Linked DNA regions of Anolis sagrei. The main gene of each other region encodes a partner of the protein of the gene in region 4 in a complex. Links are inferred from orthologs where the notes say so. Each region holds a gene or a part of one and is shown on either strand. Other genes may lie near its edges.

What was found.
Region 1: NUP98 (region 4) and CETN3 share a complex: the UniProt entries of both Homo sapiens proteins name them as parts of the nuclear pore complex. The link is inferred for Anolis sagrei from reciprocal best matches to the Homo sapiens genes NUP98 and CETN3.
Region 2: NUP98 (region 4) and NUP85 share a complex: the UniProt entries of both Homo sapiens proteins name them as parts of the nuclear pore complex. The link is inferred for Anolis sagrei from reciprocal best matches to the Homo sapiens genes NUP98 and NUP85.
Region 3: NUP98 (region 4) and NUP160 share a complex: the UniProt entries of both Homo sapiens proteins name them as parts of the nuclear pore complex. The link is inferred for Anolis sagrei from reciprocal best matches to the Homo sapiens genes NUP98 and NUP160.

What each region holds. Positions count from the first base shown.
Region 1 is NC_090024.1:171,867,595-171,875,260, forward strand, and holds the start of CETN3 (centrin-3), read right to left. Parts: upstream 3,020-7,666; 5' UTR 2,755-3,019; coding exon 2,738-2,754; intron 154-2,737; coding exon 18-153; intron 1-17. Other genes in the region: PARS2 (probable proline--tRNA ligase, mitochondrial), read left to right, coding at 6,668-7,666. UniProt on the Homo sapiens protein: Plays a fundamental role in microtubule-organizing center structure and function. As a component of the TREX-2 complex, involved in the export of mRNAs to the cytoplasm through the nuclear pores.
Region 2 is NC_090022.1:117,259,615-117,267,381, reverse strand, and holds the start of NUP85 (nuclear pore complex protein Nup85), read right to left. Parts: upstream 3,005-7,767; 5' UTR 2,910-3,004; coding exon 2,877-2,909; intron 1,143-2,876; coding exon 1,049-1,142; intron 1-1,048. UniProt on the Homo sapiens protein: Essential component of the nuclear pore complex (NPC) that seems to be required for NPC assembly and maintenance. As part of the NPC Nup107-160 subcomplex plays a role in RNA export and in tethering NUP96/Nup98 and NUP153 to the nucleus.
Region 3 is NC_090021.1:231,925,690-231,933,272, forward strand, and holds the start of NUP160 (nuclear pore complex protein Nup160), read right to left. Parts: upstream 3,012-7,583; 5' UTR 2,955-3,011; coding exon 2,846-2,954; intron 1,580-2,845; coding exon 1,471-1,579; intron 1-1,470. UniProt on the Homo sapiens protein: Functions as a component of the nuclear pore complex (NPC). Involved in poly(A)+ RNA transport.
Region 4 is NC_090023.1:2,203,345-2,211,199, reverse strand, and holds the start of NUP98 (nuclear pore complex protein Nup98-Nup96), read right to left. Parts: upstream 3,018-7,855; 5' UTR 2,805-3,017; intron 1-2,804. UniProt on the Homo sapiens protein: Plays a role in the nuclear pore complex (NPC) assembly and/or maintenance. NUP98 and NUP96 are involved in the bidirectional transport across the NPC. May anchor NUP153 and TPR to the NPC.

The DNA.
Region 1 (7,666 bases), on a different chromosome or scaffold from region 4:
AAATGAAAATTAATTGCCTTCAGTTCATGGTAATCTATAGCTTTGTCTTTATCTGTGTCAAAGAGCTCAAAAGCATCTTTGATCTCTTGCTTCTGTTCTTCAGTCAAGTCTCTTCTTTTCTTTCTCTTATTTTTTTCAACAGAAAACTCCGCTCTGCAACAAGAAGAAAAACAATTTGCACAATATTTTATAGAGAGCACGATGTAATGCCATTACTATCAATACCGGCTGTTAGGAATTTTGTTAGTTGAAGTCCAAAATCCCTGGAGGGCCCAAGTTTGCCCATGCGTGCACTGGAGAATTGGGGACCCCAAGTAGAAGAAAAGACTACAGGGAGAAGGGGAAGACATCTATTTAAAACGAGCTGTCCTCTGCCATGCGTTGGTGTGGCCCAGTCTGTGTATATGTGTGTGTATATATTTCGGTATTTGCTTTTTGTGGACTTGCTGTTGCAGGTATTTTTTAAAAAATGAATTTAAAATATTTACATTACAATGGGCCTCAGAAAGGGAGGCTGGTGTGTGGCCCCTTGTGTCCTGTCACTTGTTTTTGCCCATTTTGTTGATGGCTCGGGCTGCGAGCGGACATGCTTTGTTCACCTCCTCATTCCGGGTTGGGATGCAGCCCGTTGGAGGCCCCGATGCCACCCCAATAACATCCAATAATGTATAAACCTCACAATTAATATAGCATCCCTACTTTACGGATTTTCACTTACTGCGGGTGGTCCTGGAACGTAACCCCCACAATAAGTGAGGGAACACTGTATGTGGTTTTGCACATGCGTTATAATGTATTTTTATTTTTTTGGCTTTTTAAGTCTCTTGCATTGTGTTTTTCAGTGTTTTGATGAGTGATGGTCACCTGTTGGTTTACACAATAGGTGTATTGTGTCCAATTTTGGTGTCAGTTTGTCCAGTGGTTTTTGAGTTATGTTAATCCCACAGGCTGGTGATCTGGAAAATGAAGTAATGAGAAAGTGCTGGTTTCTAATATATGTAATGTCTTGTGGGTAAACAGTATTTCTTGCTGTGTCTTTGTCCATGTTGATGTCGAGATTGTCTGGGTTGCCTACCCTAGAACATGCAACATGGAATTGTCCTTCTTTAGGGGTCTCTTTCAAATCTATGATACTGTATCTGTGTGTGTGTGAAATCATCTATGGCTTTGTGGCTCTTTGTCAGGAGCGCTTTATTACATTTTCTTGCCCTGGTAAAGGGAGTTGGACTGGATGGCCTTAAGTATTTTCTGTTGGTCACGGGAGTTCTGTGTGCCACGTTTGGTTCAATTCCATCATTGATGGAGTTCACAATGCTCTTTGATTGTAGGTGAAATATAAATCCCAGTAAATGCAACTCCCAAATGTCAAAGTCTACTTTTTAACCCAAACTCCATCTGTGTACATATTTGAGCATATGGAATATTTGTGCCAAGTTTGGTCCTGATCCACCATTGTTTGAGTCCACAGTGCTCTCTGGATGTAGGAGAACTGCAACTTCCAAACTCAAGATCAATGCCCATCAATGTCCATGTTGGTCATGGGAGTCCTGTGTGCCACGTTTGGTTCAATTCCATCATTGGTGGAGTTCAGAATGCTCTTTGATTGTAGGTAAACTATAAATCCCAGCAACTACAACTCCCAAATGACAAAATCAATTTTTTAGAGTGATAGTCACTCCTTGGGTTAGTAGGTGTCTTGTAGCCAAATTGTGGCCAGTGGTTTTTGAGTTATGTTAATCCCACAAATGAACATTACATTTTAATTTATATATAGACTAGCTGTCCGCTGCCATGTGTTGCTGTGGCCCACATGGGGGTTCTGTGTGAGAGGTCTGGCCCAATTCTATTGTTGGTGGGATTCAGAATGCTCTTTGATTGTAGGTGAACTATAAATCCCAGCTACGACAACTCCCGAATGTCAAGATTCTCTCCCCCCCCCCCCCCAACTCTATCAGTGTTCACATTTGGGCATATTGAGTATTTGTGTAGAATTGGTCCAGATCCATCATTGTTTGAGTCCACAGTGATCTCTGGATGTAGGTGAACTACAACTCCAAAACCAAAGAACACTGCCCACCAACCCTTCCAGTATTTTCTGTTGGTCATGGGAGTTCTGTATGCCAAGTCTGGTTCAATTGTATCGTTGGTGGGGTTCCGAATGCGCTTTGATTGTAGGTGAACTATAAATCCCAGCAACTACAACTCCCAAATGACAAAATCATTTTTTTTTTAGTGAAGGACATACACTGGGTTGTTAGGTGTCTTTTGCCCAAATTTGGTGTCAATTCGTCCAGTGGTTTTTGAGTTCTGTTAATTCCACAAACAAACATTATATTTCAATTTATATATAGATGAAAGAAAGAGAAAAAAAACAATTTCCTTCTACTCCGTTTCCTAGAAATCCTGTGGGTCTGTCTGCGTGTGTTCACAATGGAATACAACGCCAGCAAAAACCTCAACCCATGATTGAACCAAGGCAAGGGCCAAAAGGGCGAAACAGGCAGGGACTGGGTGTTCTTAAGCGCCTTAGAGGAAAAGAGAGAGAGGCGGGGGCGGCGCGTGAGCCTTTCGCCAGGTGGCAGCTGAGGGACACGGAGCGCGCGCCCGCCTGAGGCGCCTCGCGAGGCAAAAAGGGAGGGGGCGGAGAACAAGCGCCGTTGAGTTTCCATGGCAACAAGAAGCGGGCGAGCACTCGCTCCCTCCCTCCCTTCCCGGTTCCCTCGCGCTGTAAACCAACCTTGACACTAAATTCATTCTCCTCGCCTCGGCCTGCTCCTTCTACCGGACACCGGGTGGGCTGCCGAGTCGGAGGAACGCCGGCGACTTTGGACCACCACCGGAAAACACGCGTCTTCCCTTTCAAAAGCCGGACGCCTAAGCTAAACGGCTTCTCGGTCAACAATGCGGCGTCCCTCTTCAGAGCTCAGTCGCGATTGGGCGCTGAGGAGCGTCCCTCCCGCCTCTTCTTGTATCGCAACGCTTCGATAGGCGAAGTCCCTTGTCAATCGGATTTCCCTCCCCGCCTTCCTCGCGAGGTTGCCAGAAGGCATGGGACGTCACAGAGAAGCGAAGGGAGGGGAGAAATGGTACGGCGCGGGTTGATGACGTCAAGAGAACGTGAACTCGCCCAATCTGCTCGGTTGGCGCGAAGAACGAATTTTGGGACTTTTAGGAATGGATGTGTTATTAACTTCCTTGTCGACTTATAGAGACCAAGTTAATTTCATTGGGTTTTCTTGGAGAATGAATACTCTTGAATCTTAGGCCTCTTTCACACAGCTAAATAAAATCCCACATTATCTGCTTTGAACTGGAATATATTTATTTATTGTATTTATTTACGACATTTATATGCCGCCCTTCTCACCCCCAAGGGGACTCAGAGCGGCCTACAACATATATATGTATGTATATATATACACACACACAATATGATATATTGTGTGTGTGTGTGTATATATATATATATATATCTTGTGTGTGTATATATATATATATATCTTGTATAGTACAATATCAGTATTATATATTACTATATTGTACTATACCATTATATTGTTCCACCTTGTCTCCTGTGCTATTCTAATAATATAATTTATTTATTTATTTCAGGCATTTCTACCCCACCCTTCTCACCCCCTAGGGAGAACTTGCATTACATTATAATATTATAAATATTATATGTATATACAATAATATATTGTATATACTTATAATATTTATAATATTATAATGTAATGCAATGTAACACTAATAATAATATATTATAATTATATATTTATATTACATGTAATATTACTAATAATATTACAATATGATATAGTACAATATAGTAATTTATTTATTTGTCGTGTCAGAGCAACCAGTCCATTATATTACATTTCTAACAGAACAAAGCAAACAAACAGACAAATACAAAACTTGTGAGTTTGGTAGTTGGTTAAATGTCCTTTGACCAGCATCTGGCCACTTGGAGTGCTTCTGGTGTTACTGCAAGAAGGTCCTCCATGGTGCATGTGGCAGGGCTCAGGTTGCATTGCAGCAGGTGGTCAGTGGTTTGCTCTTCTCCACACTCGCATGTTGAGGATTCCACTTTGTAGCCCCATTTCTGAAGGTTGGCTCTGCATCTCGTGGTGCCAGAGCACAGTCTGTTCAGTGCCTTCCAAGTCGCCCAGTCTTCTGTGTGCCCAGGATATAGTAATATTTAATACTGATATTGTACTATGCTAATAATTATATTATAATATATTGTATGTCTTGTAAGCCGCTGTGTGTCCCCTTCGGGGTGAGAAAGGTGGCATTTAAATGTCGTAAATAAATAATAATTATACCATTATATTGTAATATTACTAGTAATATTACATATAATATAAAATATATAATTATAATGTCATATTATTATTAGTAGTATTATATTGCATTATATTATAAATACTAAATGCATATACAATATATTATGTTAAATTATATTATTAGCATAGCACAGGAGACAAGATGGAACTTGTGTGGCATATATGTCATTGTGGACTCAGGTAACCCAGTTCAAAGCAGATATTGTGGGGTTTTCCACCTTGATATTCTGGGTTAAATGGCTGTGTGGAAGGGCCTTTAGAAAGCAAAAGCTAAACGTCTGCCAGGATCTATAGAGGTAGAGAGTGGTAACACATGAGACAAGGCTGTTTCACGTCTCGCGAGATCCGAGGGCACTCGGGAACCGAAATCTCGCGGCAAACCCGGAAGAGCAGCGCTCATGCGCAGTATGGGGCGTCAGGGCTGAGAGCGCGCTCTTTAGTCCTGCTTAGCGTTTGGTATGTATGTAGTGGCTCAGTTAGCTGGACGCCACGCTTTGGGGATTTGCTCAGGCCAGAGGTGGATCTGAACTGCCAAATTGATTCATTTTGAGTCCACTTTAACTGCCCGTGGCACAATGCTATGGGGTGGTGGGAGTTCTAGTTTTACAAGGCGTTTTGGCCTTCTCAATAGTGCTGGTGCCTCATCAGCTGTGGTAATTCAAGTGGGCTCAATTTGCATTGATTCTGCAATAGGCATAGGCAAACTTGGGCCCTCCAGGTGTTTTGGACGTCAACTCCCACTATTCCTAACAGCCTCAGGACCCTTCCTTTTGCCCCTCAGCCCCTAAGCGCCTGAGGGGCAAAAGGAAAGGGCCTGAGGCTGTTAGGAATGGTGGGAGTTGAAGTTCAAAACACCTGGAGGGCCAAAGTTTGCCCATGCCTGTTCTAGATTCTCCCACAATGCTCACATTTTAGTGCCCCAAACGTTAGCCCTGTTTCTGGGTATTTTTGAGCTGCTGATTCCAAAAATAACACCAGTTTCCCCTTCTCAGTTCTAGTTTTTTAGATGCAGAACATATGCCATCTACCAGTCTTCATCACCCATAGAAAATCAATGATATCTAAGAAACTAGAGCTGATGTAGTGTATCCAATTCAATTTTCTAAATCAGCGTCCCATATAACCCAGGAACAGACCTAAAAACGAAGACACCAATATTATTTACTAGAGTCTAATGTGCCATAAAATCTAATGCGCATCTTAATTTTCAAAACCTTGAAACCCAAAAAAAGCATTTACCATGTTACGCAAATCTAATATGTACCCCAATTTTGGGAAGGTAATTTAGTCAAAAAAGGTGAGCATTAGAATCAAGTAAATACAGTATTATTATTTTGAGCTGTATAATGATATTGATTTTATTGATTCTGTTATGGTTTTTATTATTCAACTGTTTTATTATATTGAAATGGCATTTTATGGTCTTGGTACCGACTGTGAACCTCCCCGAGTCGCCTGCAGGCTGAGAGGGACGGTATATAAATATAGTAAATAAATAAATAATGTGTTTACTGTTTGGGTTAAAGTTGTAATAGCAGTGTAACTGGACAATGTAAAGGGGGACATTCTTTTTCTCTATCCAGCTTTCTTTCTTTCTTCAAATCCCAGAGTGTAGAGAGAGAGGGATTACATGATTTAAAGAACACATAGAAAAACAATAGGGAAAAATGAAAATTAAAAATGCAGTAACTGTGCTTTGTTTCTGTAGGTATGTGAACAACCAGTAGCTGCTGATGTTAATGTTTCTGTATCAGTGTAAAGTTTATATGTTGTAGTGTAAGGATGTATTCTTGTGAGTACTCTATGTATTTATTTTTCCTGATTGTATCTATGTTTCAAAGATGGCAGAAAAACTGATTAAGGTCTGTTTATACTGTTTCAGGGAACAGAGCCGTAATTCATGAACTCATGGTAAGCTCCATGCTTATCAGTACATGAAATCAGATAGAGCAGTTTGATTATAAAGAAGCAGAATGCAATGTTTTGTGTTATTTTTGTTTCAGCTATGCTTTGTAAATACACATTTGTTGTTGTGCACATTCAAGCCAATTCTAAATGTGGCAACCCTAAAGCAAACCTATGACAAAGTTTTCTTCGCCAGATTTGTTTAGAGGGAGGTTTGCTTAGTTTTTTGAGGCCGAGAGAATGTTACCTGACTAGTGTTACCCAATTGGTTTCCATGACCAAGCAACAATTTGAACCCTGGTCTCCAGCCACTGGATATAAAATTTGTGTGAACTTCATGTGAAACTAATGTCTTTTTTTATATGTTTCCCTCTCTGTCTACAGATTTAAATAGAAATTTCCTCTCTGGAATGGATGGGCTGTTTAGAACAAAGAATATGCTACTTCCTAGTTTGGCAGTTTGGTGTCAAAAACAGCAACAATGTTGCAGGTTTTATTGCAATCTTCAGACAAAACGAAAGCATGTATCCCAACATTTTAGGTCCATGAATTTGCGAGAGGAAAGCATGGAATCCAAGGAGAGCAAACCTGTGGAAATGACATGCAAAAGTCAGAGACTGATGTTACTAGCAGGCCTGATTTGTCCTGCCAGCCCTGGTTGCTACCATTACATGCCATATGCAGTCCGAGCAATGGAGAAGCTGATCAAGGTGATAGACCAAGAAATGCAGGCCATTGGTGGTCAAAAAATGAACATGCCCACATTGTGCTCAGCAAAGCTCTGGAGAGCCAGTGGGAGGTGGGAGCTGCTGGGCAAGGAACTTTTACGAATGAAAGACAGGCACGGCCAGGAATATTGTCTAGGACCTACCCATGAAGAGGCCATCACAGACCTCCTAGCTTCCCAAGGCTGCTTGTCCTACAAACAGCTTCCCCTCTTGTTATATCAGGTAACAAGAAAGTTTCGGGATGAGCCAAAGCCACGCTTTGGATTGCTGCGGGGTCGAGAATTTTATATGAAGGACATGTACACCTTTGATGCCTCCAAGGAAGCTGCCCTCCAAACCTATGAATGTGTGTGTGACGCTTACAGCAATATTTTCAACAAATTGGACCTTCAGTTTGTAAAGGTTCAAGCTGCTACAGGAAGCATTGGAGGAACAATGTCTCATGAGTTCCAACTCCCTGCTGAGATTGGTGAGGACCAACTGATGATGTGTGCAAACTGTGACTTTTCAGCCAATGTTGAAACAATGAACTCCAGGGAAATGGGTTGTCCTGTTTGCAAAGGAAAACTAATTGAAAGCAAAGGGATTGAAGTTGGCCATACCTTTTTCTTGGGCACCAAATACTCTTCTGTTTTTAATGCAACTGTCCACACTGCCCAAAATAAGCCTGTTCCAGCTGAA
Region 2 (7,767 bases), on a different chromosome or scaffold from region 4:
GAGATAAAGGTGGAATAGATAAGAATAAGAACACTATGAAAACAATATTTGATATATATTCGGAAATGGTGATGAATTGTGATATCATTCTACCTGTGTCTGCAATAAAAACATCTATTTAAAAAAGAGATAAACTTAATAAAGCAATAACATTGTTTTGCCTTGTATTCAGACAAGATGGAGGTGCTGTGATGAGTGGTTCCCATACCTATACTCAGGGGTGTGTGCCTGCATTCACTGAAATTGTTTGAATCCCCACTGAGCTCAGTAATTAGGAGCTTCAGATAATTCAACCTGATCATGGTGGTTCAGAAACTGGTAACCGCAAATCAGATTACTGCAATGCCTCCTATGTAAGTCAACCATTCAAAATGCTTCAGACGTTGCAGCTGGTGCAGAATGCAGCTGCTCACTGACTGACAAGAAAGGGTGATCAACTGGACACAAGGGATGCACTCAAGGATTCATACTGGTTGCTAATGTGCAACTTGGTCAAATTCAAGAGTTTGATGTTTTTGTTTAAGTCATAAGAAAACAACTTGGAACCAAAATACTTAAAGGACTTAATTTCAATGGATATTTTGTGAAGTTCTGTTTGGGAACTCTACAAAAGCAGCTCTTGAGGATCGTTAATGGAGTTCTTCATACAATTATTCATCTACTGAAGAAAGCTTATACGGTATATCTCCAGTTGCATTGTGAGTGATGTCCCAAAAAGTTTCCCATCCAGGTATGGATCATATTGAGCCTATCTAGTTTCAGAGACTAGGGCCCCTTCCACACAGCTGTATAAAATCTACATTGAACTGGATTATATGGCAGTGTGGGCTCAGATAACCCAGTTCAAAGCAGATATTGTGGATTATCTGCCTTTATATTCGGGGTTATATGGCTGTGTGAAAGGGACCTAGATATCCCTTTGAACCAGAAAGCCCATCAAATCTTATTGCAAGCAAAAAAGAAAATACAGCTCACCATTGCAATGTATTTGCTATCATGAATTTGTAAAACACAACAAAAGCTTGTAAGATAGTAACATAATGCCAACCTGCAGATCTAAACAAGGTTTCACACACCAGCATCTCCCCAGGTCCCCACGAAAAGCATAACTGTTTCTTGTCTGAGTTTACTCCAGGAATCAGCTGTTTTTCAAAGAAAATGAGAGGATAGCACAGGGAAACATAGTGACATAGGATATTTACATACAAAAATATACTTTTCAAAAGTACTGGAAATACATACATGGTGGAAACAAAATCAGAAAAGAGGGAAGTACTGTGGTGGCACAGCGGGTTAAACAACTGAGTGGCTGAACTTGCTGACCGAAAGGTTGCAGGTTCGAATCTGGGGAGTGGGGTAAGCTCCCACTGTAAGCCCCAGCTTCTTCATGATGATGGTGGTTGTTGTTGTTGAAGGAGGAAGCCTCCTGGAAGGCTAATGGCTCCAATAGTTTCCCACTACTGTAGATGCAGACATTTACAAGGCTAGCTGGCACAAGCACACACAGGTCTGAATTAAACTAACTTAATTTATGAAGGGAAACATTTATATCCCTTATTGTAAACTGTTTCTATATGTTGTACACCGCCGTGAGTCGCCCTAGGGCTGAGAACGGCGGTCAACAAATGCAGTAAATAAATAAATAAATAAATAATATCCCAACATAAAATTATTTTCCTGTCATTCACTATCTGCCTTGGGGTATGGTGGAAGCTCCTTTTTGGTGGCTATTTGTCAGGGATATTTTGATTGTGCTTTTCCTACATGGGAGGGGGTGGACTAGATGGCCCATGCGGTCTCTTCCAACTCTATCTTTCTATGATTATATTAAACTGTGTCCATCATAGTACTGATGTTGTTTGACAGCACTATAACTGCTCTGGCTCAATGCCAGGGAGTCCTGGGAGTTGTAGCTTTACAAGGCCTCCAGCCTTCTCTGCCAAAGAGGACTGGTGCATCAGCAAACTACAATTCCCAGGATCCCACAGCATTGAGCCTTGGCAGTCAAAGTGGTGTCAAACTGCCTGAACTCTACAGTGTAGATGCATCCATTATTTCTTCTGTTGTTACTGTGAAAGGGCCCCTTGGTGGCACAGCAGGTTAAGCCACTGAGCAGCTGAACTTGCTGACCAAAAGGTTGGCGTTTCAAATCCAGGGAGCGGGGTGAGCTCCCACGTTTAAGCCCAGCTTCTGCCAACCTAGCAGTCTGAAAACATGCAAATATTAGTAGATCAATAGGTACTGCTTCGACAGGAAGGTAATGGCGCTTCATGCAGTCATGCTGACCTTGGAGGCATCTATGGACAACGCCTGCTCTTTGGTTTAGAAATGGAGATGAGCACGACTAGGCTTTATGTCAGGGGAAAACTTTTACCTTTACCTTACCATGAAATTTCCAATGCATCATAATTGCCTGCCACATTTCATGAGTGCTTACTTGCTTGTTGTGTGAGTGATCCTTTGATTCCTTTTCCCAATTGTCAGGGTTTAGAAGGATATTCCAAAGTTGGGAGTACCTTGGTTTTGTCCTCATTTCATCCCTTGAGTCAGCATGAAACATTCCTATCAATTCATTGTTACTTCAACTATTAGTATTATTATTGTTATCATCATTTTCAGCCCAGAAGTTTCCTTAAAAACTCTGTCTCAAAGGGGATCTATACCACAGAATTTAATGCAGTTTGACATGACTTCAACTGCCATGGCTCAGTGCTATGGCAACCCTGGGATTTGTAGTTTGGGGAGGCCCCAGCACTGTTCGGCAGAGGCGGCTAAAGACCCTAAGAAAAGACACTTCCCAGGATTCCACAGCAGTGACACGCCCGTTAAAGTGGTGTCCCACTGCATGCACTTATCCCGCAGGCCCCGCTCCGCACCGTGACCGTGGGCTCCTCGTCCACCTCCTCCATCGCTCTCCTTCCCGGCCGCCTGCCTTCGCGCTTCTCCGCCGCTCAAGCCTTCCTCCCTCTCGCGAGGAGGCTTGGAAAGCAGCCAGCCAATCGCCGTCCTTCTCGGTCAGCCGCGCGCACATTGACGTAAGGACGTTCTCCGCCGCGCAAGCGCATTCTTCCCTCTCCCCGTTCCTGCCCAGAGAGGTAGGAAAAAATATAGACCTATTCACACTATTCCTTTGATATTCCCCTTCTTTCTTCCTCGGGAAGGTGTGACCGTATAGATATGGACCCTTTCTTTCCCCGCCGTTGAGGCTGTCTTCCAAATTGCCTGTTAGAATTATACTTCTCAGATTCTTGAAACGAAGTTCCCAAGGCTAATTTTCTCCTCATACCGTGAAAAACAGGAGAAGGGGAACCGGCACGGTCCCTTCTAAAATAGCTTCGGTTCGATACATGCAGTTCCTTAGAATCAGGCACTCGGCTAGTCGACAAAATAAAAGGACCCCCACCTTTTATTCAGAAAGCTGCATGTAATGCTCATTTCAAGATCGGTCCATCTGTATCTCTAGAGCAGTGGTTCTCAACCTGTAGGTCCCCAGGTGTTTTGGCCTGCAACTCCCAGAAATCCCAGTCAATTTATCACCTGTTAGGATTTCAGGGAGTTGAAGGCCAAAACACCTGGGGACCCACAGGTTGAGAACCACTGGACTAGAGGGTCCCCAGGCAGCAACCAGCCAAGCTTTGAAGCTGCAAGGCCATTAAATTATCATTGTTCTTGCAGCCACTGAATTCTACGCATGCCATGAGTTGCCAAAAAGCCGATTACATGGGCAAATCAAGTCTGAACTCTCTCCAGAAGTCAAGACGGCTGAACACACTGAATATCGTAAAGGCAGCAGATTCTGTCTGATGTTTACTTACTTTCCTGATTTCAGAGTTTTTTTAATACTGGTGGCCAGATCTTGTTCATTTTCGTGGCTATTATCCACATGCTTGTGGATTTCAGTGGCTGCAAGGCCATTAAATTATCATTTCATGGCCTTGCAGCTTCAAAGCTTGGCTGGTTGCTGCCTGGGGGATCCTTTGTTGGGAGGTATTAGCTGGCCCTGATTCATTCTTGCCTGAAATTCCCCTGGTTTTTTTTTTTTTTTTAGTGTTGCTTTTTATTTATTGTCCTGATCCATGTCATACTACACAGAGCAACACTAAAAACAAACAAACAAACAAAAACGGGAATTCCGGGCAAGAATGAATCAGGGCCAGCTAATACCTCCCAAGATAGGATCCCCCAGGCAGCAACCAGCTAAGCTTTGAAGCTGCAGGGCCATTAAATAATTAAGGTGGCCAATTGCAGCATTCACACTGGCCTCAAACAGACAAGAGTTCTTTCTCCCACCCTGGACACTCCACAGATATATAAACCTCACTTGCCTAATTTCCAATAGACGTCATAGCCGCTGAGGATGCCTGCCATAGACGTGGGCAAAATTTCAGAAGGGAATGCTTCTGGAACATGGGCATACAGCCCGGAAAACTCACAGCAACCCAGTGATTCTGACCATTAAAGCCTTTGACAACACAAAGTAAATATAATAAGTATCTGAAGTTTTTTTGGATTTAAAAGGCAAAATCTTCATAAGGCAAAATCTCACAGGAAGAGGATTTTGCTACAGGCGGTTGCTAATAAAACTCCTCCGGTCTGCATGATCAGAGTCCAGTTGCCTCCCTCATTAGAAACCATATCCTAAATTATTTTTTCTGTTTTTGTAGTAACTTAAAACTTAAGTCAACCATTCAGAAATACCGTAGATTTTAAAGCATTAAAGGAAAAGATAATGCAAACTCAGTAAATTCACTGATGGGTGTATAAATATTGTCGTTATTGTTAACTCAGTACATTTAAGAATTCTAGGTGTTCTAGATTTACCTACTAGAATTTTTGGAAAGGAAGGAACATTTTATTGAGGCTGAAACATTTGGAGGAACAATGCCCTCATCCTCCATCTCATAGCTGTGTCAGTTTATCACACTACAGAGTTAAAATTAAATAAAGAGGTGGAATATTTCAACTACCGTATTTTCTGGTGTATAAGACTCCTTTTAAATCCAAAAAAACTTCTCAAAAAGTCAGGGGTCATCTTATACACCGGGAGTCATCTTATAGAGCGGGTGCTGAAACTTCCAATCCAGATTGGAGAATCTGTGGTTGCCGCATATGGGGGGGGGGGGGGGGCTCAAAAATGGCAGTAGCTGCGTCCCTGTCTTATGCAGCGACTGTATGAACGCATTAAGGGCGACGCTGTACAAGTACAGTAGAAGAAAATACATTCATCAGGATTCGTGGACTTAATGTGGTCCCAATGGTGAGGTGAAGGGGCACCTCACCGGGAAGATGTAAGTGAAGGGCAGAGCAAGCTGCAGGCGTCCAGGGTGCCCGGGGTATGGAAAAAAGTGATAGAGTGGCTCTGGGCCCAGAAAAACACAACTCTTTTACCTGTCTGGCTCGCCCTTGTATCCTATTATCGTACCAGTCCTCTGCCTCTCAGATCTCGCTCCTGAAGACTGCAGTGAAGTGCGCATGTGCAAGATCTGAGAGGCAGAGAAGGAGATACAGTAATAGGAAAATTACCATATTGAAATTGAATCTGATTTTTAAATTTTTATTTGGTGTGCATTGGAAGACAGGTAGTCTTATACAGTGAGTATATCCCAAACTCTATATTTTAACTGGAAAAGTTGGGGGTCGTCTTATATGCCCAGTCGTCTTATATGTTGGAAAATACGATACATCATAAAATGTGTCCTGTCAGGTGATGCAATTATTTCGGGGTGTGTTTGGCTGCCCCTAAGCCTCCCATGCATAACACAAACATCAATAGGGAATCCTCCTTTTACTGGATTTTAACACACTAGTTACCAAGAGAGAGAGAGAGAGAGAGAGAGAGATTCAACCATTGTATGAAAGCAATGCAAGAAAAGTGACAACTTTAAATGCCTTTTGTCTTCATTAATAGAAGATAGTTTCTTGCATTAGATTGAATAAGATTGTCCTACTTCAGTGCTGATGAGACACAATTCTTATAGCTAATCAAATGCCTACACAGCATTAGAGGAAAGAGAACACGTTGTGGGCACATCAACACTGCAGAAATAATGCAGTTTGTCACCACTTTAACTGCCATGGCTCAGTGTTATAGAATAATCAGAATTGTAGTTTTACAAGGTCTTTAGCCTTCTCTGTAAACTGCCCTGAGTCCCTTCAGGGAGAGAGGGCAGGTTATAAATATATTATTATTATTATTATTATTATTATTAATAATAATATTATTATTATGCCAAAGAGTGCTGGGGATCTCACCCAACTACAACTTCCATTGTTCTATAGCTTTCAGTCTTGGCAGTGAAAGTGATGTCAAACTACATTATTTTTACAGTATGTGCACCCTGTGAAATAAGGCTCATAGAGGCTGGCAAATCAGAAGTTCCATATCCCTGCTTTACAATAAAGTTAATTATAATGTACTTCTTTTCAACATGCTAGAACTTCAGCCATTCATCAATGCTGATTAGCAGTAGGTGGAGGTCTGAGAGTTAATTCATATATAATTAGCTTATGAGCCTGTGATATTAGTTTAGACAGCTTTCTAACAGGATTGCTTGTAATCTCCCTAAGATATTTCATACATGGTTGATGAAAGTCATAAGATTAATTTAATGCACTGTGGTCTTGGTGAACAATGCAGTACATCACTGCACTTTAAGTTCACTTTAACTGCTTGTTGATAAAATAATTCAGGTAGAGATTGGTGTATTTATAGGCCCCATTTTGATCAAGTGTCTCCTACTTCCTGGAATTCTGGTCTCTGAGTCATAATCTGAATTAGTCAAGACATTTGTCATTGGAAAAATCAGACATAGTCCATTAATAATTTGACACGTTTCCCTAGATGTTTAAAACAATTAAATTATACACCTTTACACTTCACAATCTTGTCTAGTTTTCTCACAGTTGCCCTTCTCACACCCAGGGTGCGTCTACTCTGTAGAATTAATGCAGTTTGACCCCACTTTGCCATGGCTCAATACTGTAGAATCAATCTTGGGAGCTGAAGCTTGGTGGTGTCACTGAACTAGAGCAATTTAGAATGGCTGCGAATAGTGAGATAGCTGATAGCAAAACCTGAAATGTGGATAACTGAAATGTGGAGTCCTAATAAGTGGATACTGGTACCTGCTGCAGGTTGCCCTGTTAGTCTGTGTGCCTGGCAAGTGAAGCTCAACGTTCCTGAAGAAAGCTCACCAAGTTGAAGAAGCCACTGAGGTATTTTATTCAATCAGCTGAAAGTGATGCCAACTTGTGGTTATCTGCCAAAGTAAGCTGAGACACCATTACGGTGAACAGCAGACTTTTTTATACAATACAGTGTTTTGAAATTCCTGCACCTGCCCCAGATGGGCCAGCACCACCATAATTGACTGAGCTCTGATGACACCAGGGAGGATTCCCTGCAGAGGTTGGACTGTGGCATCCACTGGCCAATGGAAGAGTATTCCCTGCTTCCAATGCAGCTGGAGCACTCTCCAATTGTTGGCAGGGGAAACTCCAAAAAAGGAAGATATAGTTTTATGATTGGATTACCTTGTCCCAACATCAGGGACAAACAATGTGGGCGCTTGGGTCCCATGAGTTTTATTGTCTTGGTGATTGTTTTTATGAACCCCGACCTCACGGGCTGATGACTCTGCACCAGTGTCCTTTATATTTCCAAACAGCAAATATTGTTCATGATAATAGGATTATGAACCCATTCCTGAGAAAGGGGCGATGTCATTGTGGAAAACAGGGCATGATTCTCTCCCCATCGGGAGCTGC
Region 3 (7,583 bases), on a different chromosome or scaffold from region 4:
TTTGGCTGGCTTTTCACTTAAAAAATGTAGTAGTTCTGACTTACATACAAATTCAACTTAAGAACAAATGTCTAGAACCTATCTTGTTTGTTGGCTCTGAAATTCTTTGCTATACGGCTGGTTAGTCCCAACAGAGTACTATAATCAATTAAATCAGTTGTTAATGTTTAGGTAAGTCGCATTTATTCAATTCTAGTCATGTTAGTGAAACAAGAACTCCAATCTGGTTTATATGCAAACTCTATAGGAGTTATCCAAGGTGCTGAAATCATTTGTGGGCCTATAGTTCAGCATCTGGGACAGTTCCTGTAAAATTCAAACTAAAACCTTTAGCAAAACCCGCATCACACTGTTATGGAAGCCACTAGAAATCAATGCTTTAACTCTGACTTCAATGTCCATTTCAATACCATATACAGTTGCTGTCACTGGACATTCAAATTACGCATCACTGATTTAAATACACATCTCACCTGAGACTCCTTCCCTGGATGTATATTTTTACCTAGTGAGGAACTGGCCAATGCAAAAAAAGGAGCATCTAAGCCAGGGGTCCTCAAACTTTTTAAACAGAGGGCCAGGTCACAGTCCCTCAAACTGTTGGAGGGCCGAATTATAATTTGAAAAAAACATGAATGACTTCCTATGCACACTGCACAATTATTATTTGTAGTGCAAAAAACACTTTAAAACAATTCAATAATTAAAATGAAGAACAATTTTAACAAATATAACCTTATTAGTATTTCAATGGGAAGTGTGGGCCTGTTTTTGGTTGATTAAATAGCTGCTGTTGTGTGCTTTCAAGTCGTTTCAGAGTTAGGTTGACCCTGGGCGAGGGCCAGGTAAATGACCTTGGAGGGCCTTAGTTTGGGGGCCCCTGATCAAAGCTTTACAAAATCAGCTTTATTTACACAGCACCTTTGGACAAAGATCTAGAAAACATTCCTCCAATCTTAGTTGCAAAAAAAAATAATCAATGTTGACATCTCTCTAAACACAAAGGTTACCAGGAACAGACAAAAAGGGCCCACTGGAAAGAAACAAATGAAGCAGACACTACTAGAATGTTTGTTATCACCAACACTTCCATTCATAGTTCATGGTATTAATAACAAAATCCTTACTATACTTTGTGTATTTAATTCTACTCTGACTTCAATCAGTATTCCAGCTTATCATGTACTTTGTGGAAGTCTGTTTATTTCTTTCTCTAGAAAGGAACTCAAAGATAATACTCCATTCCTCTGAGGAAGTGGACTGAATCTGTATCACAAGTTATAGTAAGTTTGGTAGTTTGAAAAGTATTCTATAAGTATTGCTTCCTCAACCTAATATGGTTGCTCCCTCCCCCCAAAAACAGAATTCTTAATCTAGGGCCCCTTTCAAAGCAAACTAAGGGGTAGATATTTGTGACAAGAACAGAATAACTGTTCAGCCAGACAAAAAGCACTTCTTTGGCCCACTCACCAATGAATGAAGCGGTTTCTGGTTACCGATCCCAGCTGCGCATTCTGCTGGTACCAGTATCCACCAGCGCTGTCTGCATACCGCGCGGCTGTAGAGGACAAACCACCACCTGCAATGGGCAAACAAGGGAGGCTGGTCAGCCACCATGCACCACATAAAAGAATACCATTACACCTGCTGGCAACAAAAAAATGTTTTTCCATTGGCCTGTAGAGCCCGGTTTAGGTGGTCCAGTTCCCCTTGGAGGAGGAATTCGCAGATTCTGTTTGCACAGTCTGCCAGGGCTTTAACTGTGCTTCTTTTTTTACTTGGGTGATGGTTGTAGTTTTTATGTAGGTATCTATCCATGTGTGTAGGTTTTCTGTAAACTGTGGCTCAATTGTTGATTGGGTTTGCGGATAACTAGGACATCTAGAAATGGCAGCTTTCCTTCATATTCTTTTTTCATGGTGAATTGAATGCTTGTAACAGTTTTTAAAGTATTTTGGGTGACAAATACAAAAACCTTAACAAAGAAGGCATACACAGTTCTTTTAGTACTTATGTGAATACAAGTTGCACATTCCTTATTCAGAACTCTGATATGCTCCAAAATTGCCCACACTGGATGGCTGACATAGAGACACCTTTGCCTTCTGATAGTACAACATACACAAATTGCGTTCCATGCACAAACCATTAAAAAGTACGTTAAAAATATCTTTATACTGGCTGTTAGGAATTGCGGGAGTTGGAAGTCCAAAACACCTGGAGGCAGGGCTGAAATTTGCCCATGCCTAGTATAAAATGTATACAAAGTATAATCAAATTTCATGCTTAGGCTTGGGTCCCATCTAAAGGTACCTCATTACAAAACATAAATTGTCTGCTTAGATTTGGATGCCCATTTATATATCTCATTAGGTACATATATTCAAATACAAGTATGTATATTTTCTCCAATAAATCCAGGGTAGCTCTAGCCCAGAAATGGGCAAACTGAGGCCCTATAGGTGTTTTGGACTTCAATTCCCACCATTCCCAGCAGCCTCAGGTCCCTTCCTTTTCCCCCTCTGCCGCTTAAGCGGCTGAGGGGGGAAAGGGAGGGGCCTGAGGCTGCTGGGAATTGAAGTCCAAAACACCAATAGAGCCTCAGTTTGCCCATGCCTACTCTAGCCCCAAGCATTTCGCATACAGGGATACTCAACCTGTACAAATTTCATTCGGTAACGTACTACAACATAGGAACATAGGAGTATGTACGTGGTGGAGCAACCCTGAGGTCATTTTTGGATTGACGGCCTTCGGTTTTGCAGGCCTGAGCTACTGTTCCAGCCTGGCTGATACCGCTGCTCGAATAGGAGGGTGGCCCACCTGGCCCGGAAAGAGCACCCACCTGGGAGGCTGAAGGCGAGCTCCCGGGCTCGGCGTCGCGGCCTCCTTGAGGTCCCGCCCAGCTCCAGGTAGCCACGCTCCCCGAGGCCCTCGGCCACTGACGCCGCCATCTTCCCTTCCCGCGCGCGGCGCCGCGGGGCCTCACGGGAGGCAGGAGCAGGAAGAGGGCGTGGCCGGAGGGAGTGCGCCTCCGCTGTGCATCATGGGGCGGGAGGGGGCGTGGCTGTCTGCGCGACTCGTGCCCTTACGCTGCTTACGGAAAGGACAGGCGGCGTTGCCAGGGCAACGGCGGGATGATTGGCTCTCAGTTACGTCCGGCCTAACGGTCGTTGCGTGCGCGTTGATTTCAAAAGGGATGATGTCCAGCCGGAACCAATGATTTTCCAAATATAAACATCAATCCTCACAGGTTGAATGGTCTGTTGGAAACTAGGCAAGTGAGGTTTATATATCTGTGGAATAATGCCCAGGGTGGGAGACATTGTCTGCTGGAGGCAAGCGTGAATGTTGCAATTGGCCACCTTGATTAGCATTGATTGAATGGCCTTGCAGCAATTAGCTTTGAAGCTGCAAGACCATTAAATGCTAATCAAGATTATCAATTGCAACATTCACACTTGCTTCAAGCAGACAGGAGTTCTTTCTCCCATATATAAACCTCACTTGCCTAGTTTCTTTCTCCCATCTCACCTCTGAGGATGCCTGCCATAGATGTGGGCAAAACGTCAGGAGATAATGCTTTTGGAACATGGCCATACAGGCCGAAAAACTCACAGCAACCCAGTGATTCCAGCCATGAAAGCCTTCGACAACACATTAAGGATATATATAAATGTATTTCTAATCAGAACCCTGAAGACATTTTTGTATTATCCTTATACATATAAACCAAAGGTAATGTTATACAATATTTTAAATTAAAGTTTGTGTTAATAACAGCTTATATATTTTACCAATCAAATGTTCATCTTCTGTAAATAACTGTAACTCAAGTTCAGATTTACTTTATTATTCTTTCTTCCAAAGAAGATATTGTGGTGCCATGGATGTGGACTCACTTTCTTACACTGTGTGTCACAAAAAAGCCCTCAAGTCACCAAAAAGCATTGTGTGAGCAGTGTGCTGTATGTAAGGAATATAACCTCCATATGCATGGATGCCTGGAGCTCTTGTTACAAGAAATAACACATTGGAAGGTGCTGTAGCATCATAATATCTGCCAGGTTCAGTATTCTTCAAAGGAAGAGGATCCTGGCCCATGGGAGAGGTTTTGTTTCTTCCTTTTCTGGTTGATTTGAGAGCATTATCACATTTTCCTAACAGCTTCTTTGCACATAGCATAAGTTTTCATGACTATCACCCATGCTACATACAGTGTCATTCAGAAATTTGAGCGCATTTTTATTTGTTTATTTATTTATTTAGAACATTTTTACCCCACCCTTCTCAATCCCTGGGGGGACTCAGGGCAGCTTACAATTGGCAATAATTCAATGCCACATCATAAAATACAGGATAACAAATAACAATTATACATGAACATTAATAAATAAAGATGGATGCTCAGTCTCATTATATACAATTGTGTAGAAAATGGTGCCACTCGCATTAAAAACAAAATCAATATTTTGCTTTTTTGGATTTGTAATATATATTTTCAAGCTGTGGATGGTAGAATCCATGCATGCAGAATCTATGGATATGGAGGGCTGACTATAAGAGTATTATGCACATGTATAGGATAGGATTGTAGCCATTGTGATCAAAGAGAAATCAAATGAGAAAGTACTGACTGGTATTTACCTTATTAACATGTCCATGCAACTTTTATTTATAATACAAATGCCTTGGCAGTAGATAACACATGTCATAATATTGAATTATAGACTGCATTATAATGAATTATAATGCAGCTATTTCCCTTCACTCTCCCTTTCATTCAAATCTTTCTTTTTTGTTTCTTTTTCCCCACAGCAGTTGTGTTAAGGTCAGTGATAAGAGGTCTGGTGTTTCCTTGGACACTGATGTGTCATTTTACTGATTTGTTCATATTGCACTACATTAACTGCCATGGCTCAATGCTATGGAATAATGAGATTTATAATTTGGGGAGGTACCAGCACTATTTGGCAAGGAAGGCAAATGCCCTTGTAAAGTTACAATTCTCATGAGTTTATATCATTGAGATATGGCTGAGCAGGAATTTGAACTCTGGTCTCAAAGTTGTAGTTGAACACTTAAACTACTACTGTATACCACACTGGCTCTCCTCCTGTCTCCTGTTCTTGCTTTTTAAAAAACAAAATAGAGGTCAGTATGCTTTATGTTTTCAGGAATTCCAGTTGCTGATTTACCTTGGCTCTGTCTCTAGAGGGCATCAGTCACTTTAAGATCCTTGGCACATCGTTTGTTTATTTTCCCCATAAGTTCATATGTTAAGAAAACCTATTCATTTCAATGTGCTGGAGAAGAGTTATAGGGATACCACAGACTACTAAAAAAAAACCCCAACAAACCCAAATTAATGGGATTTAGAGAAAATCAAGTCTGAACTCTCAATAGAATAAATAATGACTAAATTGAGTCTGTCTTATTTTGGAAGTATCCACAAAAGAATAATATCTTTATTGACCAACCAAAATGCATAAAACCAATGATGCAAACTTTCAAATCTCTGTTCACGTTTTAATCAGGCAAATGTGTTAAAATATGAAAGGTGATGGAGTCACAGACCTAAATATAGTCTTACATATTGTTCTGTTCTCACATTTTTCGCCCTATGGAGAGCGAGACAACGTTACATTAAAGTAATGTATGAGAATATTAGTACAGAAAGTGCTTGTGAAGACATGTTTTATTATCCCATGAGCACTCAATGCTTTGTTTTAAATTTCAAGAAAATGTTTCTCTTTGTATAGTCCTATGCAACATTGTGAGAGTCATTTCTGCTTATTATTTATCACGGGATTGAGGACAGAGTCCAGAAAGAGCAAGAACAACACTTAGTGAGTTGCTTTTGTTGCTTATCTTTCTCAATCCAACAATAAAAACAAACACTTTCCTCTTTCCCTCAAAGACTTTGCTTTCCCCAAAAGCTTTGATTTCCCTTTTTATTGTCTCCTTTCTCTCATACAGGAATGGAAATCAAATAGAGTCCTAGATGCTGTTGGATTACAACTCTCAGTTTGAAATTGCATTATATGACAGCATAGGTGGGATCCCAATATATTTAACTTAGCATTCTGAAATATGAGAGGAATGCTAAAAGTTGCAATTTGTGATTCCTACCCCTACTTTAGCAGAACAACACTTTTCAAGAACTTAGATTTTGGAGAGCTAAAATTCCCTGTATCAACTAGCCAACATGTTCGTGCTAGGTAAAAGATTCCTGAGGATTATTGTTCAAAAAACTAACCTTTCTAAACTCTTTGCTTTATTAATTAATTTTAAAGGCAATATATTTATTTATGGGTTTTTAAAAAGTTATCTCCATTGCTTCTGCCCTGGAACACTGCTGAAATTTACAATCTGAATCAGCAATCTAGCTTTGGTCTGTATTACACCTTTTGTGTTGCTGTTTCTCATAGTGAGACACAAGGTGAACCTACACTGTAGAATTAATACACCCTTAACACCACTTTAACAACTGTAACTGAATGATATGGAATACTGGGAGCTGTAGTTTTACAGGGCCTTTTGCCTTCTCCACCAAATAGTGTTGGCGCCTCACCAAACTACAACTCCCATTATGCCATAGCAAGTGGTGTCAAACTACATAAATTCTACAGTGTAGATGTACCCCCAGTGGTTGCTTTTCCATACCAAAAGGCAGATTTGTTGAGACTGTAGAACAAAGTGATCAATATACAGAGTTAAAAATATCTTTTTCTACCCCCCCCCCAGTAATTCATCAACACAACTGACCCAAAGTATTTTGTTGCCTAAATAGTAGCTGCAAATGCCCAAAACTAGCTGAATTGTTTTGACACATGACACAGAAAATACCAGAAACACTTTTGCCCATCTTCAGATGTTAAAAAACCCCTAAATAACAAAGCAAATAACTAACACTTTGCTGTTACTTCATGACAACCATCATTTCTTGCATCAGTTGGGCATATGGATGCCAGCCCTGGCGTTATACCAGTTTAGTTCTATTAAACCTTTAATTCTGTCTTTATCGTTAATTCTCACATCTCCCTTGCTATAGCAGATGAGATTAGATTTGGGAGGCTGGACACCCTAAATTATACACTCAAATTATATTTTTTAAGAACCTGGACCCTTACGTCTCTTTTCTATCTATACTTTGGACTTTCTTCAAGAGGATGTATTTAGTTCAGGGTCAGCCTTTTATCTGCTTTATCAATGGATTTCCAGATGAGCTTAGATCCTTGCTGTTCGATTCTTTGAATCTAGATATCAGTTGTCACTTCATCTGTGCTACCTCATTGTATCACAATGGCCTTGGAAGCTTTGTTATGCAGCAGGAAAGTATTGCCTCTAAAACCATGCCTTTTCATCATTTTCATATACTCAGATAACAATGTACCTGTATGATTTTAACATAACATCCTCTTTAGTGACTTAATTTGTGTAACCTCTGGGCTATAGCTATCTCGTAGCCCTTTCACATAAGAGAATTCTGGCTGTAATAGGAATTGAATCCCATAACTATGTTACGTTTGCGAGGGCAACAGAAAATTTGGCAGGATATCATGATTTTTGAATGGCTCTAG
Region 4 (7,855 bases):
ATATAAATATAACACATTGTATATAATATGCAGTATTAAATATAATAATACAACACAGTAATAATTTATATAATAATAAAAATTAATATATTTAATATAATATATGTTATAATTAATATAACAATCATATTATAATAATATAGTAATATGTATTATAATAATCATTAAAATTAAATAGTTAATATAATAATAAAATCTATATAAATAAAAATGTTATTATTATTATACTAATATTGTGCTATGCTAATAATATAATATATTGTATGAATATATATCTTGTAAGCCGCTCTGAGTCCCCTTCGAGGTGAGAAGGGCGGCATATAAATGGTGTAAATAAATAAATAAAATAAATAATATATATCATAATAATAAATATATTTATTATTATTATTACTATTATTAAACTTTATTTGTACCCCGCTAGCATCTCCCGAAGGACTTGATGTGGCTTACAAAGGCCAAGGCCTCAACACAACAACAGCAAAACAGTAACAATACAGTTTAAAGCAAATTAAAACATAAGCAATAACAAAACAATACATAAATTATGCAATAAAAACCAGGGCCGGGCCAGTGATGGGTATAGGTTAAAAAAGTGCTGGGTGTGGCAGGTGGTATTTTGGATTTCCGGGCAAGTGCAGAGTGCAGAGAGTCTTAAACTCTAATAAAGTGCTTCTGGGAGTAGTGCTGGAGATTATCCTATTCCGGAAAGGCACATCGGAATAGCCAGGTCTTCAAATTCTTCCTAAAGACTGCCAGCGTGGGTGCTAGTCTAATGTCTTTGGGGAGGGTGTTCCAGAGTCAGGGGGCCAGCACAGAGAAGGCCCTGTCCCTCATCCCCACCAAACGCGCCTGCGACGCAGGTGGGATCGCGAGCAGGGCCTCTCTGGATGAACGGAGGGAGCGCGTGGGTTCGTAGATGGAGATGCGGTCACGCAGGTAGGCAGGTCCCAAACCGTTTAGGGCTTTGTAGGTAAGCACCTGCACCTTGAATTGGGTTCGGTAGATAACCGGCAGCCAATGGAACTCCTTAAACAGGAGGGTTGACCTCTCTCTGTAAGGAGCGCCAGTTAACATCCTGGCTGCTGCCCGTTGGACCAGTTGGAACTTCTGAGCCGTTTTCAAGGGCAGCCCCACGTAGAGCGCATTACAGTAATCCAATCTAGAGGTGACCAAGGCATGGACCACCCCGGCCAGGTCAGCCTTCGCGAGGTACAGTCGCAGTTGGCGCACGAGTCTCAAATACAAATACAGTAAAGAATAAATAAATAAATAAATAAAGCTTGTATGAAAATATATCTTGTAAGCTGCTCTGAGTCCCCTTTGGGGTGAGAAGGGCAGCATATAAATGGTGTAAATAAATGATAAATAAATAGTATATATCATAATAATAAATATATATAATATAAATAATACAATATGCAGTATAACAATAAATATTAAATATGTATCATAACATAACAACGAATCATAATACATCGGCCATCTGTCAGGAGTGTTTGGATGGGTCTTTCTTGGGGGGTCTGTTTGGATGGCCTTTGGGGGCCCCTTCTCTTTCCTTTTCTCTACATTGGCAGTCTTCAGAAAGAACTTGAAGACCTGGCTGTTCCGATGTGCCTTTCCAGATTAGGAATCTCCAATACCAAGTCCTAGAAGCACTTTAGTAGAATTAAGATTGCTGCACACCGCACACTGCACTTACTTATAATCCTACATACCTCCTGCCACACCAGCACTTTTAATCTTGCACCTATCACTCTGGCCCGGCCCAGTTTTATCGTGTCTTTCGAAAGAAGGTTAAAACCTGGCTCTTTGAGCAAGCGTTTGGCTAATCAGTGCAATCGAACATAGGATGACGGTAAATTGAACATAGGAATGGCACAAGGATTATGAGACCGGATTTTGCTTTGTGATCGAGGCATTATGAATGATTAATTGTGTATTTGTTATTGTGTATGATGTGTTTTAACTGTTATTGTTGTGTTAATTTACATTGTGTAAACCGCATTGAGTCGCCTAATTAGGTTGAGAAACGCGGTATAGAAATAAAGCAAATAATAATAATAATATTGTTTTTATTGTTGTTGTTCATACTGCTTAACTGTTTTTGATTTGCTTTAGGTGTTGTATTGTGTTTTGAGGCCTTGGCCTATGTAAGCCGCATCGAGTCCTTCGGGAGATGCTAGCGGGGTACAAATAAAGTTATAATAATATTACTAAAATAGTTAATATAATAATAAAATCTATATAAATAAAATTATTATTATTATTATTATACTGATATTGTGCTATGGTAACTGTTTATTAATTGTGTAATGTGTTAGGTTGTTAACTGTTTCTATACTGTAGCACTGAATTTTTGCTGTTTGTATTTGCTGTGAACCGCTGTGAGTCGCCTTCGGGCTGAGAAGTAAGATTAATAAATAAATAAATAAAATGGTAATAATATAACATAATGTATGAAAATATATCTTGTAAGCTGCTCTGAGTCTCCTTCGAGATGAGAAGGGTGGCATATAAATAAGTAAATAATATATATCACAATAATAAATAAAATAAATAAATAATATATATATATATATATATATATATATATATATATCATAAGTATATTTAAAATAAATAATATATTATACAGTATAACAATAAATATATTAAATATGTATCATAACATAACAAGTAATCATAATACACCGGCCATCTGTCGGGAGTGTTTGGATGGGTCTTTCTTGGGGGGTCTGTTTGGATGGCCTTTGGGGGCCCCTTCCCTTCCCTCCCTCCCTCCCTGTGGGCCCGGCCTTTACCCGCTCGTGGGCCTGGAGGCGCCGGAGAAGGCAGGGCCCTCGCCCGGCTCTCCTCCCGCTCCTCCCGCGGCGGCCTCTCCTTCTCCTCCTCCTCCTCCTCTTCCGCGGGCCAAGAGTCTCCTCAGAAGCCGCGCCTCAGAAGCACCAGCAACGACGACAAGGAACGACGCCTCCTTCTCTTCTCCTCCTCACGCGAGAAGCGGTTGCGGGCTGCGTCAGGAGCACGCACGGCGACGCACGGGCCGTCCTACGTCACCGCCGCCTCCCATTGGCCCGTCGCAGTCTCCACCTCCCCGTGGAAAAGAGCGCCATTGGCCGGGCCTCAAGTTGAGACAGAATCCTCGCCCTTGATTGGACGCGCTGCCGACCAATCGGATTCCGTTTTCCTTACATCGCAAACGGGGATTGGAGAGGAAGGAGAGGAACTAAAAACAAGGAGAGGAAGAAGTGGCTTCCTGGAAGTGGGCGGGGCTAATATCTCCCCCGACTCATTGGGTTGGCCTGCGGGTATCCATGGCAACCTGCTTCAAGGAAAAAAGGCGCCTGGGAGCGGAGACTAGGCCGCGATTTCCCCTCAAGGCCCCGGTTGGGCCTAACGAGGCGGGCCGAGCGAGGAAGGGCCCCGCGGTCGGCGGCAGCGGTGAGTGGCGAAGCGCGGAGACCATTCGGTCATTGGTTAAATGTGAATGTTGCCACTGGCCACCTTGGTTAGCCTTGAATGGCCTTGCAGCATCAAAGCCTGGCAGCTTCCTGCCTGTTTATTAGCATTGAATGGCCTTGCAGCTTCAAAGCCTGGCAGTTTCCTGGCTGTTTATTAGCATTGAGTGGCCTTGTAGCTTCAAAGCCTGGCTGCTTCCTGCCTGTATCTGTGGAAGGTCCAGGGTGGGAGAAAGAACTCTTGTCTGCTGGAGGCAAGTGTGAATGTTTCCATTGGCCATTTCATTAGCCTCAAATGACCTTGCAGCTTCAAAGCCTGGCTGCTTCCTGCCTGTTTATATATCTGTAGAAGGGCCAGGGTGGGAGAAAGAACTCTTGCCTGTTGGAGGAAAGTGTGAATGTTTCCATTGGCCACATTGATCAGCGTTGAATGGCCTTGCAGCTTCAAAACCTGGCTACTTCCTGCCTGTTTATTAGTATTGAATGGCCTTGCAGCTTCAAAGCCTGGCTGCTTCCTGCCTGTTTATATATCTGTGGAAGGTCCAGTGTGGGAGAAAGGACTCTTGTCTGCTGGAGGGAAGTGTGAATGTTTCCATTGGCCACTTCGATTAGCATTGAATGGCCTTGCAGATTCAAAGCCTGGCTGCTTCCTGCCTGTTCATATATCTCTGGAAGTTCCAGGGTGGGAGAAAGAACTCTTGTCTGCAGGATGCAAGTTTGAATGTTTCCATGGGCCACCTTCATTAGTATTGAATGGCCTTGCAACTTCAAAGCCTGGCTGCTTCCTGCCTGATTATGTATTTGTGGAAGGTCCCGGGTGAGAGAAAGAACTCTTGTCTGTTGGAGGCAAGTGTGAATGTTTCCATTGGCCACCTTGATTAGCATTGAATGGCCTTGCGGCTTCAAAGCCTGGCTGCTTCCTGCCTTATTATATATTTGTGTGTGTGTGTGTGTGTGTGTGTGTGTATAGTAAGCTGCTCTGAGACCCCTTTGGTGTGAGAAGGTTGATATATATAATACTACTACTAATAATATTTATTATTATATAATAATAATAATATGATATTATAATTACATGTTTTATATTACATGTAATATTACTAATAATATGGTATAGTACAATATGGAAATATATAATACTGATATTGAAGTATGCTAATAGAATAATAGAATCCTAGAGTTGGAAGAGACGTGGTGGGCCATCATCCAGTCCAGCCCCATTCTGCCAAGAAGCAGGAATATTGCATTCAAAGCACCCCTGACAGATGGCCATCCAGCCCCTGTTTAAAAGCCTCCAAAGAAGGAGCCTCCACCACACTCCACTGCTGAACGGCTCTCACAGACAGGAAGTTCTTCCTCATGTTCAGATGGAATCTCCTTTCTTGTAGTTTAAAGCCATTGTTCCATTGCGTCCTAGTCTCCAGGGAAGCAGAAAACATCTCTCTCCTTCCCATGGATCAGAGCATGGCGGGTGAAACAGACTCCTCAGGTCTGCCACACTTTGAGCATTATTAGATTGAGTCTTTTATAGGAATGTTCTGCTGATGTCGTCCCAAAGTTGCAAAATAATGACCGTCGTCTTCCATCCTGGCTCCATCTCAGTTTCCCAGCAAGATGTTGATCTTCTTGATTGGTGTTGACAAACACAAGACTTGTGTTGACTTCCTTCTTAACATAAGGAATGTTGTAAACATTTCTCTTAACCTGAAATAATCATTGACACAGTCCTTATCACAGTTTACTTTTCAGTTCTCATTAGCAGGTTTTAATCATAGTCCAGCAAGTAGTTATGTTATGAACCCAAAGAGGTTCCTGTTCTTTTGTGCAGAGTGTTCAAGGAATAGAATCATAGAATCATAGAATAATCATTGTCACAGTCCTTATCATAGTTTACTTTTCAGTTCTCATTAGCAGGTTTTAATCACAGTCCAACAAGTAGTTATGTTATGAACCCAAAGAGGTTCCTGTTCTTTTGTTCAGTGTTCAAAGAATAGTAATGCAGTTTAGACCAATGAGACACTTCAGAGACCAAATTTGGTTTTGACCCTATTCATGTAACATTTATTGAAATACAATAATCACAGAATCATATCAGAATCACATCAAGGGAGAGCTCTCGTGCACACACACATTCATGCATACACACAGGTAAAGATGATCAGTCTTTTCCAAGGAGGTGCGGACGCTCCGTTGCCTTGGATCAGGAAGCGTGCATGTTCTTGGGGTCCGCTGCATTAAATAGGCCAAAATCCATTTTTCCTATTTTTAATAATCAAGCTGTTCCATCCCTTTTAAGTCCCGTACTTTTCAAGTTCAGGACATCCACGTGACTTATGGGGTACACCTGCACACTCCTTACACTCCTTACACGCTCGGCCGCACACCTTATTGTTCATTGTCATTCAGCTATGCCTTGCTGCTTCCTCGCTTCGACTGCCAAGTCCAACCCATAATATCATGCTTTGCACGGACACCATGTTGTAGTTTCTTCAGGCCGGTTCTTCTTCTACATGCATTCAAACATTCATTCCTTACAGTTAGTCATTGCAAACATTTCCTTAACTTGAAAGAACCATTGTCACAGTCCTTATCACGGTTTACTTTTCAGTTCTCATTAGCAACTTTTAATTACAATCCAGCAAGCAAATTTAGTCATTGCAGGCCTTAATATTATACTGGTGCTCCCAAAATTATTAACTCCATCCATACATTCTTCCATTTATTCCCACACATATATTAAATCCACATTGATCAAATCTGCAATGATATTTTCGTGACAACTTCAGCCCTCCCTCCAGTTGTTTTGGACTTTAGCTCCCACAATTCTTAACAACTGTTAAACAAGCTAGGATTTCTGGGAGCTGACGTCCAAAACATCTGGAGGAGCAATTGAGAAACTCTTCACTAAGGAAACCCATAGTTTAAGAAGCCGTGGGCCAGGGAGCAGGGGTTGAGGCTGCAGAGGGAAAATAATTGGCTGCTGCTGCCTGTTTGCTTTGGAGAGGGCTACATTAGGGTTACTTACTTAGGTGATCCCTCGTTGGCCGAGTAGGATAGTCTTCCAGGATCAGTATTCTGGTGGGTCCGTGGGTGGCTGTGAAGCCCTATTCTTGACCTGCATCTTCTCCCATAGTGAGGGCATCAGTTTCTAGGTGGAAGGCAGTCTTGGTCAGGGTTGGCGTGATGCACCTTCCTCTTGACACGTTTCTCTCTTTCGCCCTCCATTCGTGCCTCTTCAAATTCTACAGCACTGCTGGTCACAGCTGACCTCCAGCTGGAGCGCTCAAGAGCCAGGGCTTCCCAGTTCTCGGTGTCTATGCCATGGTATTCCCTGTAGTAACCTACGGATGTGAGAGCTGGACCTTAGGGAAGGCTGAGCGAAGGAAGATCGATGCTTTTGAGCTGTGGTGCTGGAGGAAAGTTCTGAGAGTGCCTTGGACTGCGAGAAGATCCAACCAGTCCATCCTCCAGGAAATAAAGCCCGACTGCTCACTGGAGGGAAAGATACTAGAGACAAAGTTGAAGTACTTTGGCCACATCATGAGGAGACAGGAAAGCCTGGAGAAGACAATGATGCTGGGGAAAGTGGAAGGCAAAAGGAAGAGGGGCCGACCAAGGGAAAGATGGATGGATGGCATCCTTGAAGTGACTGGACTGACCTTGAAGGAGCTGGGGGTGGTGACGGCCGACAGGGAGCTCTGGCGTGGGCTGGTCCAGGAGGTCACAAAGAGTCGGAGATGACTGAACGAATGAACAACAACAACAACAACTTGAGCCCATCTTTCAATCTCTTTTCCTGCCCACCAACATTCCATTTTCTGTTCTTGAGTTTGGAGTAGAGCAACTGCTTTGGGAGACGGTGGTTGGGTATTCGGACAACATGGCCGGTCCAGTGGAGTTGATAGTGGAGGAGCATTGCTTCAATGCTGGTGGTCTTTGCTTCTTCCAGCACGCTGACATTTGTCTGCCTGTCTTCCCAAGAGATTTGCAGGATTTTTCGGAAGTAGCACTGATGGAATCGTTCCAGGAGTTGCATGTGACGTCTGTAGACAGTCCACATCTCGCAGGCATATAGCAGGTTTGGGAGGACAATAGCTTTATAAACAAACCCCTTGGTCTCCCTACGGATGTTCCAGTCCTCAAACACTCTCTGCTTCATTCGGAAAAAATGCTGCACTCACAGAGCTCAGGTGTTGTTGTATTTCGGTGTCAATGTTGACGTCTGTAGATAGTCCACGTTTCACAGGTGTATAGCAGGTTTGGAAGGACAAAACAATCCCCTTGGTATCCCTATGGATATCCCAGTCCTCAAACACTCTCTGCTTCATTTGGAAAAATGCTGCACTCACAGAGCTCAGGTGGTGTTGTATTTCGGTGTCAATGTTGACGTCTGT